2 linked regions of the Astyanax mexicanus genome follow. The protein of the gene in region 1 binds, or shares a complex with, the protein of each later gene. Links are inferred from orthologs where the notes say so. Each region holds a gene or a part of one and is shown on either strand. Other genes may lie near its edges.

Evidence for each region.
Region 2: the proteins of nsun4 (region 1) and mterf4 are in contact, whole or in part, in a crystal structure (PDB 4FP9), measured with the Homo sapiens proteins. The link is inferred for Astyanax mexicanus from reciprocal best matches to the Homo sapiens genes NSUN4 and MTERF4. Residues at the interface, in NP_950245.2 of Homo sapiens: Pro61, Ser62, Arg64, Val65, Leu68, Ser69, Glu70, Arg136, Gly137, Asp138, Ile139, Arg141, Asn367, Leu368, Met369; in NP_872307.2 of Homo sapiens: Tyr267, Glu269, Arg270, Leu271, Gly272, Arg273, Glu311, Glu312, Val315, Phe316, Lys318, Leu319, Arg322, Glu323, Glu326.

What each region holds. Positions count from the first base shown.
Region 1 is NC_064411.1:55,593,860-55,601,497, forward strand, and holds the start of nsun4 (5-methylcytosine rRNA methyltransferase NSUN4), read right to left. Parts: upstream 3,005-7,638; 5' UTR 2,983-3,004; coding exon 2,890-2,982; intron 1,292-2,889; coding exon 960-1,291; intron 1-959. Other genes in the region: cytochrome b-c1 complex subunit 6, mitochondrial, read left to right, coding at 4,187-4,234, 5,260-5,322, 6,161-6,322. UniProt on the Homo sapiens protein: Mitochondrial RNA cytosine C(5)-methyltransferase that methylates cytosine to 5-methylcytosine (m5C) in various RNAs, such as rRNAs, mRNAs and some long non-coding RNAs (lncRNAs).
Region 2 is NC_064411.1:30,156,095-30,163,425, reverse strand, and holds the start of mterf4 (transcription termination factor 4, mitochondrial), read right to left. Parts: upstream 3,088-7,331; 5' UTR 3,004-3,087; coding exon 2,983-3,003; intron 1,870-2,982; coding exon 1,488-1,869; intron 390-1,487; coding exon 205-389; intron 1-204. UniProt on the Homo sapiens protein: Regulator of mitochondrial ribosome biogenesis and translation. Binds to mitochondrial ribosomal RNAs 16S, 12S and 7S and targets NSUN4 RNA methyltransferase to the mitochondrial large ribosomal subunit (39S).

The DNA.
Region 1 (7,638 bases):
GGGGCGGTGCCGAAGAGAATCATGAAAATATGTGTGGGATCTTCCCACATCCATTCCCCCCAGTCCCATTTCCACACTCAGGGTTGCCAGGCATAGAACACGACAGTACGCAAACAGTACCAAATTGAAAACCTCTGGAATATAATCAAGAGGAAGATGGATGATCACACGCTATCAAACCACCAAACTGAACTGCTTGAATTTCTGCACCAGGAGTAAAGCAGCATAAAGTTATCCAAAAGCAGTGTGTAAGACTGGTGGAGGAGAACATGATGCCAAGATGCATGAAAAATGTGATTAAAAACCACCAGGGTTATTCCACCAAATATTGATTATTTCTGAACTCTTTAAACTTTATGAATATGAACTTGTTTTCTTTGCATTATTTGAGGTCTGAAAGCTCTGCATCTTTTTTTTTGTTATTTCAGCCATTTCTCATTTTCTGTAAATAAATGCTCTAAATGATGATATTTCTTATTTGGAATTTGGGAGAAATGTTGTCTGTAGTTTATAGAATAAAACAATTTTCATTTTACTCAAAAATAAACCTACAAATAGCAAAATCAGAGAAACTGATTCAGAAACTAAAGGGATCTCTTAATATATATATATATATATATTGATGACTGATTGTTCTTTTGAAGTTGTATTCGCTTTAATTTACTTAAAAAATGTAAAATACTGGGAAATAAAAGCTGAAATGTTGATATTTTGTCTCATATTTATCTTTTAAATGTTAAATCTAAAAGTTTTCAGTCTACATCAGAAATAAAGGGATTCTATTACTTTCTGAATTAAAGACCCTGTAAATATACCTGAAATAATACTAAATGCATATAAATGAAAAATGAATTAAATTGGGACATTATAAATTGAAAAAATATCGATTCTTGCTCAGTGTAATCTGCTTTAAATCTGATTTAAAGCTAAAAAACGTCTATAAAGCTGAGAATTCTTACCGTGCAGGTCTGAATCGAGAGATGTCTCCTCTGGGGAAGGTGAAGCACTGGATATGTGAGGTGATTGGAGCAGCAGTGGGGTTGTGGAGCTCTGGATCAGTAGAGAGATGCTCTGTAAGCGCTGTGCTGATGAAGTCTCTGCAGCCCTGAGTCTGTAGCGCTGAGATAACGTCTGAATCACAGGAGAAACTGTTCACTAAAGCTCCATACTTTTTCTCCGACAGCATCCCGACCCGAACCGACGGCCACAGATCACCCAGCTGCAGACTGTACGTCATATCAAAGTGATGCAGGGCGAGGTCAGAGGAGGCTACTTTAGGTCTGGTGCCGGCCTGGAGGAATATCAATCAATCAATCCATAAATCAATAAAATTTAATAATAAGATACAAATTTTCCTTAAAAGTTTTAAACAAACCAAAATACTCTGTGAAGAAGCATTTAGGTGCTCTTATTTGGGGTTAAGCTGCTAACTTGCGATTTCTGAGGCTGGTAACTCTGATGAACTTGTCCTGATAAGTGCCAGTTTCACCATTATAATATTTTTGATGGTCTTTTTTTGTAATAGCACTTAAGGATACTTTCAAAGTTTTTGAAATTCTTCTTTTCTGTATACCTGTAACTCTACCAAGGCTGTCACGAAAGGAATTTTCTCTGGGCGATATATTGTCCCAGAAATTATTGCGATAATCGATATTATTGTCGTTTTAAGACCATTGAATGTCACTGATATAATAATAACAAAATAATTATAACAAACAAAATGTATACCCTTTTTAAGAAAACATAATTTCAATAATCATAGTTTTGGAAATAACCATTTTTTCTCACTTACTGCAGTCCACACTGTGTGTATTATTGCTGGCTAAAATATTCTTGATTGTTATATATGCACACAAACATACAAATAAACCCAATAGACGATATCACAATATCAAATAAATCGATAATGTAATTATTGGGACAGGCCAACTCTACCTCTTCACTACTTTACTTTAACTGATGCTCTCAAACACTTTATTAAGAGACAAGAAATTCAAGTAATTAACTCTTGATGAGTTCAGCACAGCTGTTAACTGAAAGCCAGAATTCCAGGTGACTCTACCTCATAAAACTGACTGAGAAAATCCAGCAGAGATGTGCAAAACTTTCTCGATTTAAGCAAGAGGTGTTCGTTTTTGCATAATCTAAAATATATAAAATTTATTCTGATATTTTTCACACGTTCTATTTGTTTAATTAAATAATTCCATATGTTTCGTTTTCATAGTTTGAATGAGTTTAGTATTTAATCTACAATGCAGAACAAGTAAAATAAGTCAAATAATAATTAGATAGATAGATAGACAGATAGATAGATAGACAGATAGATAGATAGATAGATAGATAGATAGATAGATAGATAGATAGATAGATAGATAGATAGATAATACATATAGTTCAATAGTTCACACTGGAATAATCAGAAATAAAAAATACATATTAACATGTAAATAACCTTTACGAATTACAAAACATAATAAAAAATTAAAACCTTGATTTTTTTATCCCTAGGTAAATAACATGTTAAGTTAAATATTCATCTAAAAGTATAACAAAATATAAGATCTTTTTTCATTTTTTTTTTTTTTTGTATAGAATGTATAGAAGAATGTATAAGCTGGCCCATTTAATTTTACAGAACTACTTAATATCTGGTTACTGTTGTCCTTTACTATAAAGTAAAGAGGCTGTTTTGTATTCTACACATCAAAATCAACTTCATTTCGCCCCCTTCTTTACCTAGTGCACTAGATACGGAGCAGCTGATATTTGGAGCACAGCCCATGCAGCCTTAGCTAAGCTAAGCTAACTGGAGTGTTTGGCTTTATAGTAATACTACACTCACATTTTACAGTAAATATCTGCACCGCGTTAAAACCTAACACTTACCCATTTAGTTTTGACGCGGTTACGGCGCTGAATGAAACACACGGAGTGTTTTATTCTCTTAAACAGAAACCTCGGGCTAACGCTCACTGCCATCTTTACATCAGGTGTAACACTAACACCCGTCCCCTCCGCACAAATACCCGCACTATTAGTTCCTCTCTGCGTTAAATAAAAAAAACACGTTTTTTAGACTAGAGGAAAAATAAAACAAATATATTTGTAAATTTTAGCTTTTAATAGCTTAGTTATATTAAACTCTAACAACATAATACTTATGTTGTTTACTTGAGTAATATTTTTTACGAATTAATTATACTACAATTTTAATATTGTTAAAAAGGTAGTATATTGTAAAAGTACATTGTAAAAAAAATAAATTCATCATAAATTATAAAAAAATTAAAGGGGGATGTTTAGCAAACAGGTCATTGGTTAACAGTTTACAGCGGATAAGCAGCAATAAAAATAAAGTGAACAATTGGAAATAAATTTAAAGAGTTACTGCATTTACACACTTACACACAGCACATTCACACATTCATCGTAATAACTAGAAAAAGACACAGATAAGAAGAAGTAAAATAATTCTAAAAAGTAACTTATATATTTTTTATATTTGAAATGTCCAGGTAAATCTCAGGGAAATAAATAAAGAAAGAAATAAATAACCTTTTTTAGTTTGAAAAAGAGATTAAACACTTTTTTATTTTTTTTATCTTTAGGTAAATAAAATATTTTAGGTTAAATATTTATTTAAAAATATAAAATATACTATATTTTTTCTCCTTTTTTTATATATATATTTTTTTTTTGTTTAAACTTTCCTGAATTTCTAACTCAAATAATGTCGAAATGTTAAACTTTTTTATACACTCTCTTTTTATTTAATTTATATCAGTAATACAAACAGTTTAATAGTTCACACAAGAGTATTTGGAAAAAATCAACCAAAATATATATAAAAATAAAAAAAATATCCTTTACAGACTAAGCAAATAAAAATTAAGACAGATTTTTGCTCTTGTTTTTTTTTTTTGCATTTTTAATTTTACGCTAAATATACATTTTAATATATATATATATATATATATATATATATATATATATATATATATATATATATATATATATTTTTTTTTTTTTTTTTTTTTTTTTTTAAGAATTTGAAAAAGGACTTTTATCCAAGTAAATCCATCTGTAATCTGCTTCCTGCGAACTTTCTAGTGCGTGTTTTTAGTGTGTGTGACCTTTAGAAAGCTACTACAGAAAGTTTAGAGCTTATAAAGTGAATTAAATCATGGGGTTTGAAAGGAAAATGATCACTTATGGAGATCCCGATGACGAGGTTTGATTTTAAGCTTTTATTTTATGGAATTTAGACTTTAATTTTGAAGCTGGAGTTGGCTTCGTGTTCGAATTGTCCGTTCCACCTTAAACGCCAGACTGTAACTGCTGCAGCATTTAAGGTGGAACGGACCGTTCGAAAACGAGCTTCGGGAAAAGAGTATAAACTTTTGAACACGTGTTTAAAAATGAGTTTATTTGTTGTTTTAATGTGTTATATAAGTACAATTACTTGAAATGCCTCAACATGTTAGACTTTAAATCGATTTCTATTAGAGTTATGCTGATATTTAGCCTGTTGATAGAGTTTAGAGATATTATTTTTTATATTATTGTTTTTTTAATAATAATAATAATAATAATACTAGAAAAGAAAAAAGGTTTGTGAACGAACCTTAAGTTCATTTGAAAAATTAAAACTGTTAACTTTTGGTTAAATGCTAAAGTCTAAAAAGTTTGCATACAAAGGCTTTAATATGGTGAGAAAGCTATTAATGTTACCCAGTAGCTGGTTTATCCAGCAGCTCCTCTATAAACACACAGTAACCTCTAAAACGTCTGGAGTTCTATCAGTATACAGAATTCTGTGGTTCTAGCTAAATAACTGTGACCTGTAGAGCTGTTTGAATTATATTGGCAAAAATTTGTGGACACTTGAATGAAAAGCCTTAACACATCGACTGTACGAAAAATGTACAATATATTGATCCTAAAAGCACAAAAGCAACCTAATCAGGTATAGGTCCAACAAGCCTGCAAAAGTCTGTGTTCTACGTTAAAAGCTGTAAAAAGTTGTACATTTAATTTTACATACAAAGGCTTTAATATAGTGAGAAAGATATTACCTAATAGCTGGTTTATCCAGCAGCTCCTCCATACACACAGTATAAGTCCATTACCCCTGCTCTAGTTACAGTCTACAGTTGTTTGTTGGGCTGACCCACATGGAAGAAAACTTGGAGAACTCAGCCATAACATTAAAACCTCATAAATGAGCAATTTATTGATTTTGTTTCACTTTAAAAGGAGGAGGAATCTCCAGCTGAAGAAGAGGAGGAAGAAGAAGAAGAGGAAGAAGAAGACCTGGTGGTGAGTTAGTTGTTATTTGTCTTATCTGGCAAATGAACAAATAATCAAATAAATAAGTAGTTCAAGAGAAATAATGTGGTACAAAAGATGAATTACATGTATTAAATGTACTATATAAATGCTAAGAATATTATAAAGACGAGTGAGACTGACCTTAATGTACTGGGCTTTAATTGATTAATATTAAATTGTGTGGAATTAAAAAGAAGTGAAACTAAAAAAAAAATTTAAAAAAAAAAAAATATATATATATGACATTAGTTTTTATATCTAATGATCTACAGTATTAAACCCCTCACATTTCTGCAAATAATTAGAATTATTAATGTATAATAATAATCTTTTCATGAGACAACACTACAGCAATGAAACCTGGACATAATCTTCTGAAAATAATTTAACACACAGCAATTAATGTCTAAATATCTGCAAAACTAGTGAGTACAGCTCACAGTGAAAATATACAAATTGTGCCCAAAGTGTCAATATTTATTAAAATTCAATATCATTTTTATCAAGCACTGCCTTAAAGAGGCACTAAACTCCCTGATTTGAGCTGATTTCACTCTAAAAAAAAATAATGGGAGAGGTCATTTGAGAGGAGCACTGGGTGATGTATGGGTTTAGGGGCGGGGCAGGTAAAAATTTGTATAGTGTTTTAGCTGGGATGCTGCTATGAAACAAACAGTCCAACAATCAAACAGTTGTGCATTTTAAATTTGAACTTTTAATAAACCTCTATTGATGGCCCTGGTTTCTGATAAATTGGCCACTGACTGTAAGCAACACTTATCCTAAACACTGACTTTTGTTTATTTTATTCACTGTTTTTGTACAGGACCCGTTAGAGAGCATCCGGGAGAAGTGTGAGCAGACAGAGCACTGTGTTCACGCCAGGCAGAGGCTGGAGGCGTGTGAAGCTCGGGTCGGCTCGAGGTCCGAGACCACCGAGGACTGCACTGAGGAGCTCTTCGACTTCCTACACGCTCGAGATCACTGCGTACGTACACACACTCACACACACTCACTCACACACACACACAGACACACCCACACACACACAGAGTCTGATGTAGTAATACATTAATATAACAAGACATTTCCCTTCATAACAATGATACTGTGATTTTGCGATACTCTTTATTTCAAAATACAGTTCTCTACAATACTTCACAGCACCTGTGTTACTGATGATCAGGGGTGTCCAAACTTTTTTTGTTGGGGGCCAGAAGGAGAAATATATTTGAAGTCACGGGCCACAGACTCTGTAATAAAACAAATAATGAAATATACCACTTTAAATAATACATTTTCCTGATTATTTCATTTACACACCATTTTACTTGACTTACTATCTTTATATTTGACAGTGTTGTGTAAACAAAAAAACGGGGTAAAAGAGTCTAAACGCGGAGAGAGTGCGCATTTCTAGCGCACTCTCTCCGCGTTTAGACTCTTTTACCCCGTTTTTCTGCGCTAGAAATACGCACTCTCTCCGCTTTTAGACTCTTTGGCCTGTTTTTCTGCACTAGAAATGCGCACTCTCTCCGCTTTTAGACTCTTTGTCCCGTTTTTTGCGCTAGAAATGCGCACCCTCTCCGCTTTTAGACTCTTTGGCCTGTTTTTCTGCACTAGAAATGCGCACCCTCTCCACTTTTAGACTCTTTGGCCCGTTTTTCTGCGCTAGAAATGCGCACCCTCTCCGCTTTTAGACTCTTTGGCCCGTTTTTTGCGCTAGAAATGCGCACCCTCTCCGCTTTTAGACTCTTTGGCCTGTTTTTCTGCACTAGAAATGCGCACCCTCTCCACTTTTAGACTCTTTGGCCCGTTTTTCTGCGCCAGAAATGCACACCCTCTCCGCTTTTAGACTCTTTGGCCTGTTTTTCTGCGCTAGAAATGCGCACTCTCTCCGCTTTTAGACTCTTTGGCCCGTTTCTGACACCTAGCGTTCAAACTTTGAATCTCAGATTATAAAACCTGCTTAACAGCGGGCCAACTTTCATTCTATTTCTAAAATACCTCGCGGGCCGCTCCAAAAAAGGAAACCGGCCGCGGGCCGTAGTTTGGACACCCCTGCTAAAGAGGATAAAATACTCCTAAATAATCAAATAACAGAAATTGCAGTCAGTTTTATGAGGTAGAGTCACCTGGAATTCAGGCTTTCAGTTAACAGCTGTGCTGAACTCATCAAGAGTTAACTACTTGAATTTCTTGTCTCTTAATAAAGTGTTTGAGAGCATCAGTTAAAGTAAAGTAGTGAAGAGGTAGAGTTACAGGTATACAGTGAATAGTGGATATTTGAGTAATGTTCGAATC
Region 2 (7,331 bases), about 25 Mb from region 1:
GTGAACAATTATGCACTTTGACAAGCATTTGTGATCAGATCACCCACAATTCATGTTAATACCCAGTGTAGACAAGGCCATATGTGCATATATTACTGATATAACCCAAGTGCAAACTTTGAGGAAGGACAGTTTATGTTCCCAGGGTTTAGTGCACAATTTGGGACTAGGCTACTGTACTCATAATTTAAGAGTTTCTCGTACCTGAAACACGTACTCCAGACTCGTGTGGTCTTCCTGCAGGATGTGAGGCGAGTCCCTGAGGATGTCAGTCACCTGCTGAACTGTAAACTGGCACTTTTCTCTAAGGAGCCGAGACACAGCGTTTACTTTCTTTATGGGCAGAGACAGGATCTGAGGGTAGTGGCTTATCACCCTCTGCAGACTGCCTGATGACAGAGACCAGAGTTTACTAGCAGCTTTTGCAACGGAAAATGAGGCCGACCCACTCCAAACATTACACTTAATGTTGCCATTTACTTTCACTAATAAAAGTGTTTAATTACCACAACTGCAGAAAGAAAAGCTGGCTTATTGGCAAACAAAGTATAACAGGTTCTATAATTACAGACTGTAATCCTTCCTTTTTATGCACAATTTATTATCCTCCTCTCCCTTCTCTCAGTCCCCCCAGAACCACCACACGGTAGCTAATATTATTTGTATCGTGGGTGATTTATTCTCAGCACTGCAGTGACTGTACTGACATAGTGGTGGTGTATGAGGTGTTAGTGTGTGCTGTGCTGGTACAAGTGGATCAGGTACAGCAGCAGTGCTGCTGGAGTTTTTAAACACTGTGTTTAATCACTCACTGTCCTCCACTCTATTACACACTCGTACCTACAGCTGAAACACCTGTAGATAAAGTGAAGTCAAAGACAGAAGCACTGAATCTGTTGCTGCACAGTTTGTGTTGGTCATCCTCTAGTCTTGCCTTCATCAATAACCACAGGACACTGCCCACAGGACACTGCTGGCCAAAAATTTGTAGCTGGTGACCTATTTTCTGACCAGCAGTGAGCACTGAGGTGTTTATAAATTCCAGCAGCATTGGTGTATTTGATCCACTTTTTCCAGCACAATCCTATTTCCTTTTTGTACCCCTACCCCTTGTTTTTTGAGTTTAGCCCTTCCCCTTAGATAAGAATTAACTACAAGGGAAAATATTGAAATCCTTTTCTTAAGAATTGGGAAAAACTCTTCAAGCATCTGATACAGATGTTAAGCAGTGCAGTGCAACCTAACTGTTTAGGTTGCTGTTTAGGAAATTACTCAAACTTGTGAGATTCCTTGGTTGCTTGTGCCGCCATCTTGCCAGTCAGTGGTAGTGTCACTGCAGTGCAGAGAATGACCCACCTCCCAAATAATCCCTGCTCTGTGGTGGTCCTGGAAGGTCCTGACCATTGAAGAACAGAGTGAAAGAAATAGAAGGACTACACTCTGTAATTAAAGAAAACGGGAAATAAAGGGAAAAAAAGCCAGCTTACCTTCAAGCAGGCCGAGTTTCCTCAGATTTGCTATACGCTGCTGTAACTGAGACTCTTTCACCACATACAGGTCAGGACACTTCTCCAGGACCTTCAGCATGCTGTCGGGGTTAAAGCCGAGGACGAACAGACTTGTCAGTATCGGCACCTGGTGTTTGCATCGTTTCTTCTTTGCAACTTCATACACTACTTCAGCCTGGGTCTCAGAGAAACCCATTTCAGCCAAAGCCCTCATCGTTAACTCTGGTTCAGGATGCTGTACTTTAGGAGGTGGCGGAGCAGAACAGAACAGTCTGGGGATGCCCACTAAAGCTGCCTGCTGTTTAACAGGAAACAGCAGAGGACTGCAGAGAGAAACGCTCCTCCAAGTCCAGCGTAGGACCTGCCACAAAAGATCAAAATGCAGATGGGACAGGACATTTAGGATATCCCAAAAACACCTTCTATTATTTTTCCCCAAAATTGAATTATTAAATGAATTTTAAATATTACTAGTGATTACATTCATTTGTATTTAGAATTATTCGTATATTTAATATAAAATATATAATAATAACTGATGTATACTTTAGACATAATTCATCATCAATTACAGGATGCCCACATATTATTGACTGTGTTATAAAATCAGTGCCCCAAATTATACATTTTCTGTAGAGTATGTTATTTCAATAATTAACAAAAACAAAACAACGTTCAAATAAAAAATATGTGACCTGCACTCAGTGATATCTCTTCCTCTGGAGGGAAGTTTGTATATTTTTTTGATTATCATGTTGAGAATACACAAACAGTATATTAATTATTGGTCAAATCTGTTATGATATTTTGTAAATGTCACATTCAATTAATTAATATGTTTTTAACTAACTGAATAAAGAGGTGTGTTCAAATGTTTGAGTTGTCCTGTTTTTGAAATGCACATTGCTACTAGTCATAACTAATCAGAGATATGTTGAATTACCATTTGCAGTAGTCAAAATTGACCTATTAATATATGGACATAAACCTTTTTCTAGCCAGAATTACAGAAGGATATGTAGCTAATGATGTGAATACGACTAGTATTGCAGGGGTCATTTTAGGGTATTTTACAGCGACTTTCTATTTAATAAATGTTTTTTACAGTGTAAATATCTGTTATATCTACAGTTTTAAGTGGAACGAAGAATTAAAGCAGTAATGGAATAGCCTCAAAACACAAGCACACACACACACACACTCAGTCAGACAGACACACACTCAGTCACTCACACAGACAGACAGACAGGCAAACACACACACATACACACACACACACACACACAGTGCCTGCTGTTCATCTGCCCCACTCCTCAGCTAACCGAGCTAATGGCTAAGCAAAACCAGCCACCCAATAATACACGCTTTTAACACTTATAATGTCTAAATAAAGCAGTGTTTTAGTCACAGCAGTAATAACCTCTTCACACTCTAATTAAAACATTATTAAACTGTGTAAAAGTCTCTTACTAACCCCACAAGCCTGAGCGCTCATGTTTATCCGGAGTCAAAAACATTCCCCTAAAACATCAACCCTGATAAAGTGGTTCCACCACAGAAGCTCATTTCCCCCACGCAAAAACAACTGCGGTCAAGCCAGCCCCCACTGCAAAACGCTTGGTCAAACTAGCCCCCACGCTGTTTCTCAGAGCGCGCATACACTAAACATTGCGGCAAGCGTGAGAAGGAACACATTTCAAAATAAAAGCCCCCCCCCCCCCCCTTAATATCATTATGCTGTGGAGTGGTATTAAAAGGAATCCACATGATTTCACATGTTATGTCTGATATCACATGTCAATTTCATGTAGTCCTGGTAGTACACAAAATAAAAGCCCTGTAAATTATAAAAAAATATGTTATTTTAATAATACTACTACTACTAATAATACTAATACTAATAATAATACTAATAATAATACTTATATGTGTCACTCACTTAATAACAGGGCATTATAATGTGTCATTTCAAAATAAAGGCCCTTTAAATTATTACAATATTTTATTTTAACACAATGTTTAGACTGTTATTAAAAGGAATCTGTCTGACGTCACAGGTCAATTTCATATAGTCCTGATAGTACACCACGTGTATTTGTCACTCACTTAATATCAGAACATTTTGATGTGTCATTTCAAAATAAGGGCCACTTAAATTGTAACATTTATGTAATTTTACACAATGTTTAGACTGTTATTAAAAGAAATCTGTCTGATATCACAGCTCAATTTTATATAGCCCTGATAGTACACTACTTGTATGTGTCACTCACTTAATATCAGAACATTTTGATGTGTCATTTTAAAATAAAAGCCCTTTAAATTGTAACAATATTTTGTTTCAACACAATGTTTAGACTGTTATTAAAAAAAATCTGTCTGATATCACAGTTCAATTTCATATATTCCTGATAGTACACTACTTGTATGTTTCACTCAATTAATATCAGAACATTTTGATGTGTCATTTTAAAATAAAAGCCCTTTAAATTGTAACATTTATGTAATTTTACACAATGTTTAGACTGTTATTAAAAAAAATCTGTCTGATATCACAGTTCAATTTCAGATAGTCCTGATAGTACACTACTTGTATGTTTCACTCACTTAATATCAGAACATTTTGATGTGTCATTTTAAAATAAAAGCCCTTTAAATTGTAACATTTATGTAATTTTACACAATGTTTAGACTGTTATTAAAAAAAATCTGTCTGATATCACAGTTCAATTTCAGATAGTCCTGATAGTACACTACTTGTATGTGTCACTCACTTAATATCAGAACATTTTGATGTGTCATTTCAAAATAAAGACCCTTTAAATTTCAAAAATATTTTATTTCAACACAATGTTTAGACTGTTATTAAAAAAAATCTGTCTGATATCACAGTTCAATTTCAGATAGTCCTGATAGTACACTACTTGTATGTGTCACTCACTTAATATCAGAACATTTTGATGTGTCATTTCAAAATAAAGACCCTTTAAATTTCAAAAATATTTTATTTCAACACAATGTTTAGACTGTTATTAAAAAAAATCTGTCTGATATCACAGTTCAATTTCAGATAGTACTGATAGTACACTACTTGTATGTGTCACTCACTTAAAATCAGAACATTTTGATGTGTCATTTTAAAATAAAAGCCCTTTAAATTGTAACATTTATGTAATTTTACACAATGTTTAGACTGTTATTAAAAAAAATCTGTCTGATATCACAGTTCAATTTCAGATAGTACTGATAGTACACTACTTGTATGTGTCACTCACTTAAAATCAGAACATTTTGATGTGTCATTTTAAAATAAAAGCCCTTTAAATTGTAACATTTATGTAATTTTACACAATGTTTAGACTGTTATTAAAAAAAATCTGTCTGATATCACAGTTCAATTTCAGATAGTACTGATAGTACACTACTTGTATGTGTCACTCACTTAAAATCAGAACATTTTGATGTGTCATTTTAAAATAAAAGCCCTTTAAATTGTAACAATATTTTGTTTCAACACAATGTTTAGACTGTTATTAAAAAAAATCTGTCTGATATCACAGTTCAATTTCAGATAGTCCTGATAGTACACTACTTGTATGTGTCACTCACTTAATATCAGAACATTTTGATGTGTCATTTCAAAATAAAGACCCTTTAAATTTCAAAAATATTTTATTTCAACACAATGTTTAGACTGTTATTAAAAAAAATCTGTCTGATATCACAGTTCAATTTCAGATAGTACTGATAGTACACTACTTGTATGTGTCACTCACTTAAAATCAGAACATTTTGATGTGTCATTTTAAAATAAAAGCCCTTTAAATTGTAACATTTATGTAATTTTACACAATGTTTAGACTGTTATTAAAAAAAATCTGTCTGATATCACAGTTCAATTTCAGATAGTACTGATAGTACACTACTTGTATGTGTCACTCACTTAAAATCAGAACATTTTGATGTGTCATTTTAAAATAAAAGCCCTTTAAATTGTAACATTTATGTAATTTTACACAATGTTTAGACTGTTATTAAAAAAAATCTGTCTGATATCACAGTTCAATTTCAGATAGTACTGATAGTACACTACTTGTATGTGTCACTCACTTAAAATCAGAACATTTTGATGTGTCATTTTAAAATAAAAGCCCTTTAAATTGTAACAATATTTTGTTTCAACACAATGTTTAGACTGTTATTAAAAAAAATCTGTCTGATATCACAGTTCAATTTCATATAGTCCTGATAGTACACTACTTGTATGTGTCACTCACTTAAAATCAGAACATTTTGATGTGTCATTTCAAAATAAAGGCCCTTTAAATTATAACATTTATGTAATTTTACACAATGTTTAGACTGTTATTAAAAAAAATCTGTCTGATATCACAGGTCAATTTCATATAGTCCTGATAGTACACCACTGGTATGTTTCACTGACTTAATATTAGAACATTTTGGTGTGTCATTTCAAAATAAAGGCCCTTTAAATTGTAACATTTATGTAATTTTACACAATGTTTAGACTGTTATTAAAAAAAATCTGTCTGATATCACAGTTCAATTTCAGATAGTCCTGATAGTACACTACTTGTATGTGTCACTCACTTAATATCAGAACATTTTGATGTGTCATTTCAAAATAAAGACCCTTTAAATTTCAAAAATATTTTATTTCAACACAATGTTTAGACTGTTATTAAAAAAAATCTGTCTGATATCACAGTTCAATTTCATATAGTCCTGATAGTACACTACTTGTATGTGTCACTCACTTAAAATCAGAACATTTTGATGTGTCATTTCAAAATAAAGGCCCTTTAAATTATAACATTTATGTAATTTTACACAATGTTTAGACTGTTATTAAAAAAAATCTGTCTGATATCACAGTTCAATTTCAGATAGTCCTGATAGTACACTACTTGTATGTGTCACTCACTTAATATCAGAACATTTTGATGTGTCATTTCAAAATAAAGACCCTTTAAATTTCAAAAATATTTTATTTCAACACAATGTTTAGACTGTTATTAAAAGAAATCTGTCTGATATCACAGCTCAATTTTATATAGCCCTGATAGTACACTACTTGTATGTGTCACTCACTTAATATCAGAACATTTTGGTGTGTCATTTCAAAATAAAGGCCCTTTAAATTGTAACATTTATGTAATTTTACACAATGTTTAGACTGTTATTAAAAAAAATCTGTCTGATATCACAGTTCAATTTCAGATAGTACTGATAGTACACTACTTGTATGTGTCACTCACTTAAAATCAGAACATTTTGATGTGTCATTTTAAAATAAAAGCCCTTTAAATTGTAACATTTATGTAATTTTACACAATGTTTAGACTGCTATTAAGATAAATCTGTCTGATATCACATTTCAATGTCATATACTACTGATAGTACACCACTTGTATGTGTAACAGTCTAAACATTGTGTATAATTACATAAATGTTACAATTTAAAGGGCTTTTATTTTAAAATGACACATCAAAATGTTCTGATATTAAGTGAGTGAAACATACAAGTAGTGTACTATCAGTACTATCTGAAATTGAACTGTGATATCAGACAGATTTTTTTTAATAACAGTCTAAACATTGTGTTGAAATAAAATATTTTTGAAATTTAAAGGGTCTTTATTTTGAAATGACACATCAAAATGTTCTGATATTAAGTGAGTGACACATACAAGTAGTGTACTATCAGGACTATCTGAAATTGAACTGTGATATCAGACAGATTTTTTTTAATAACAGTCTAAACATTGTGTAAAATTACATAAATGTTATAATTTAAAGGGC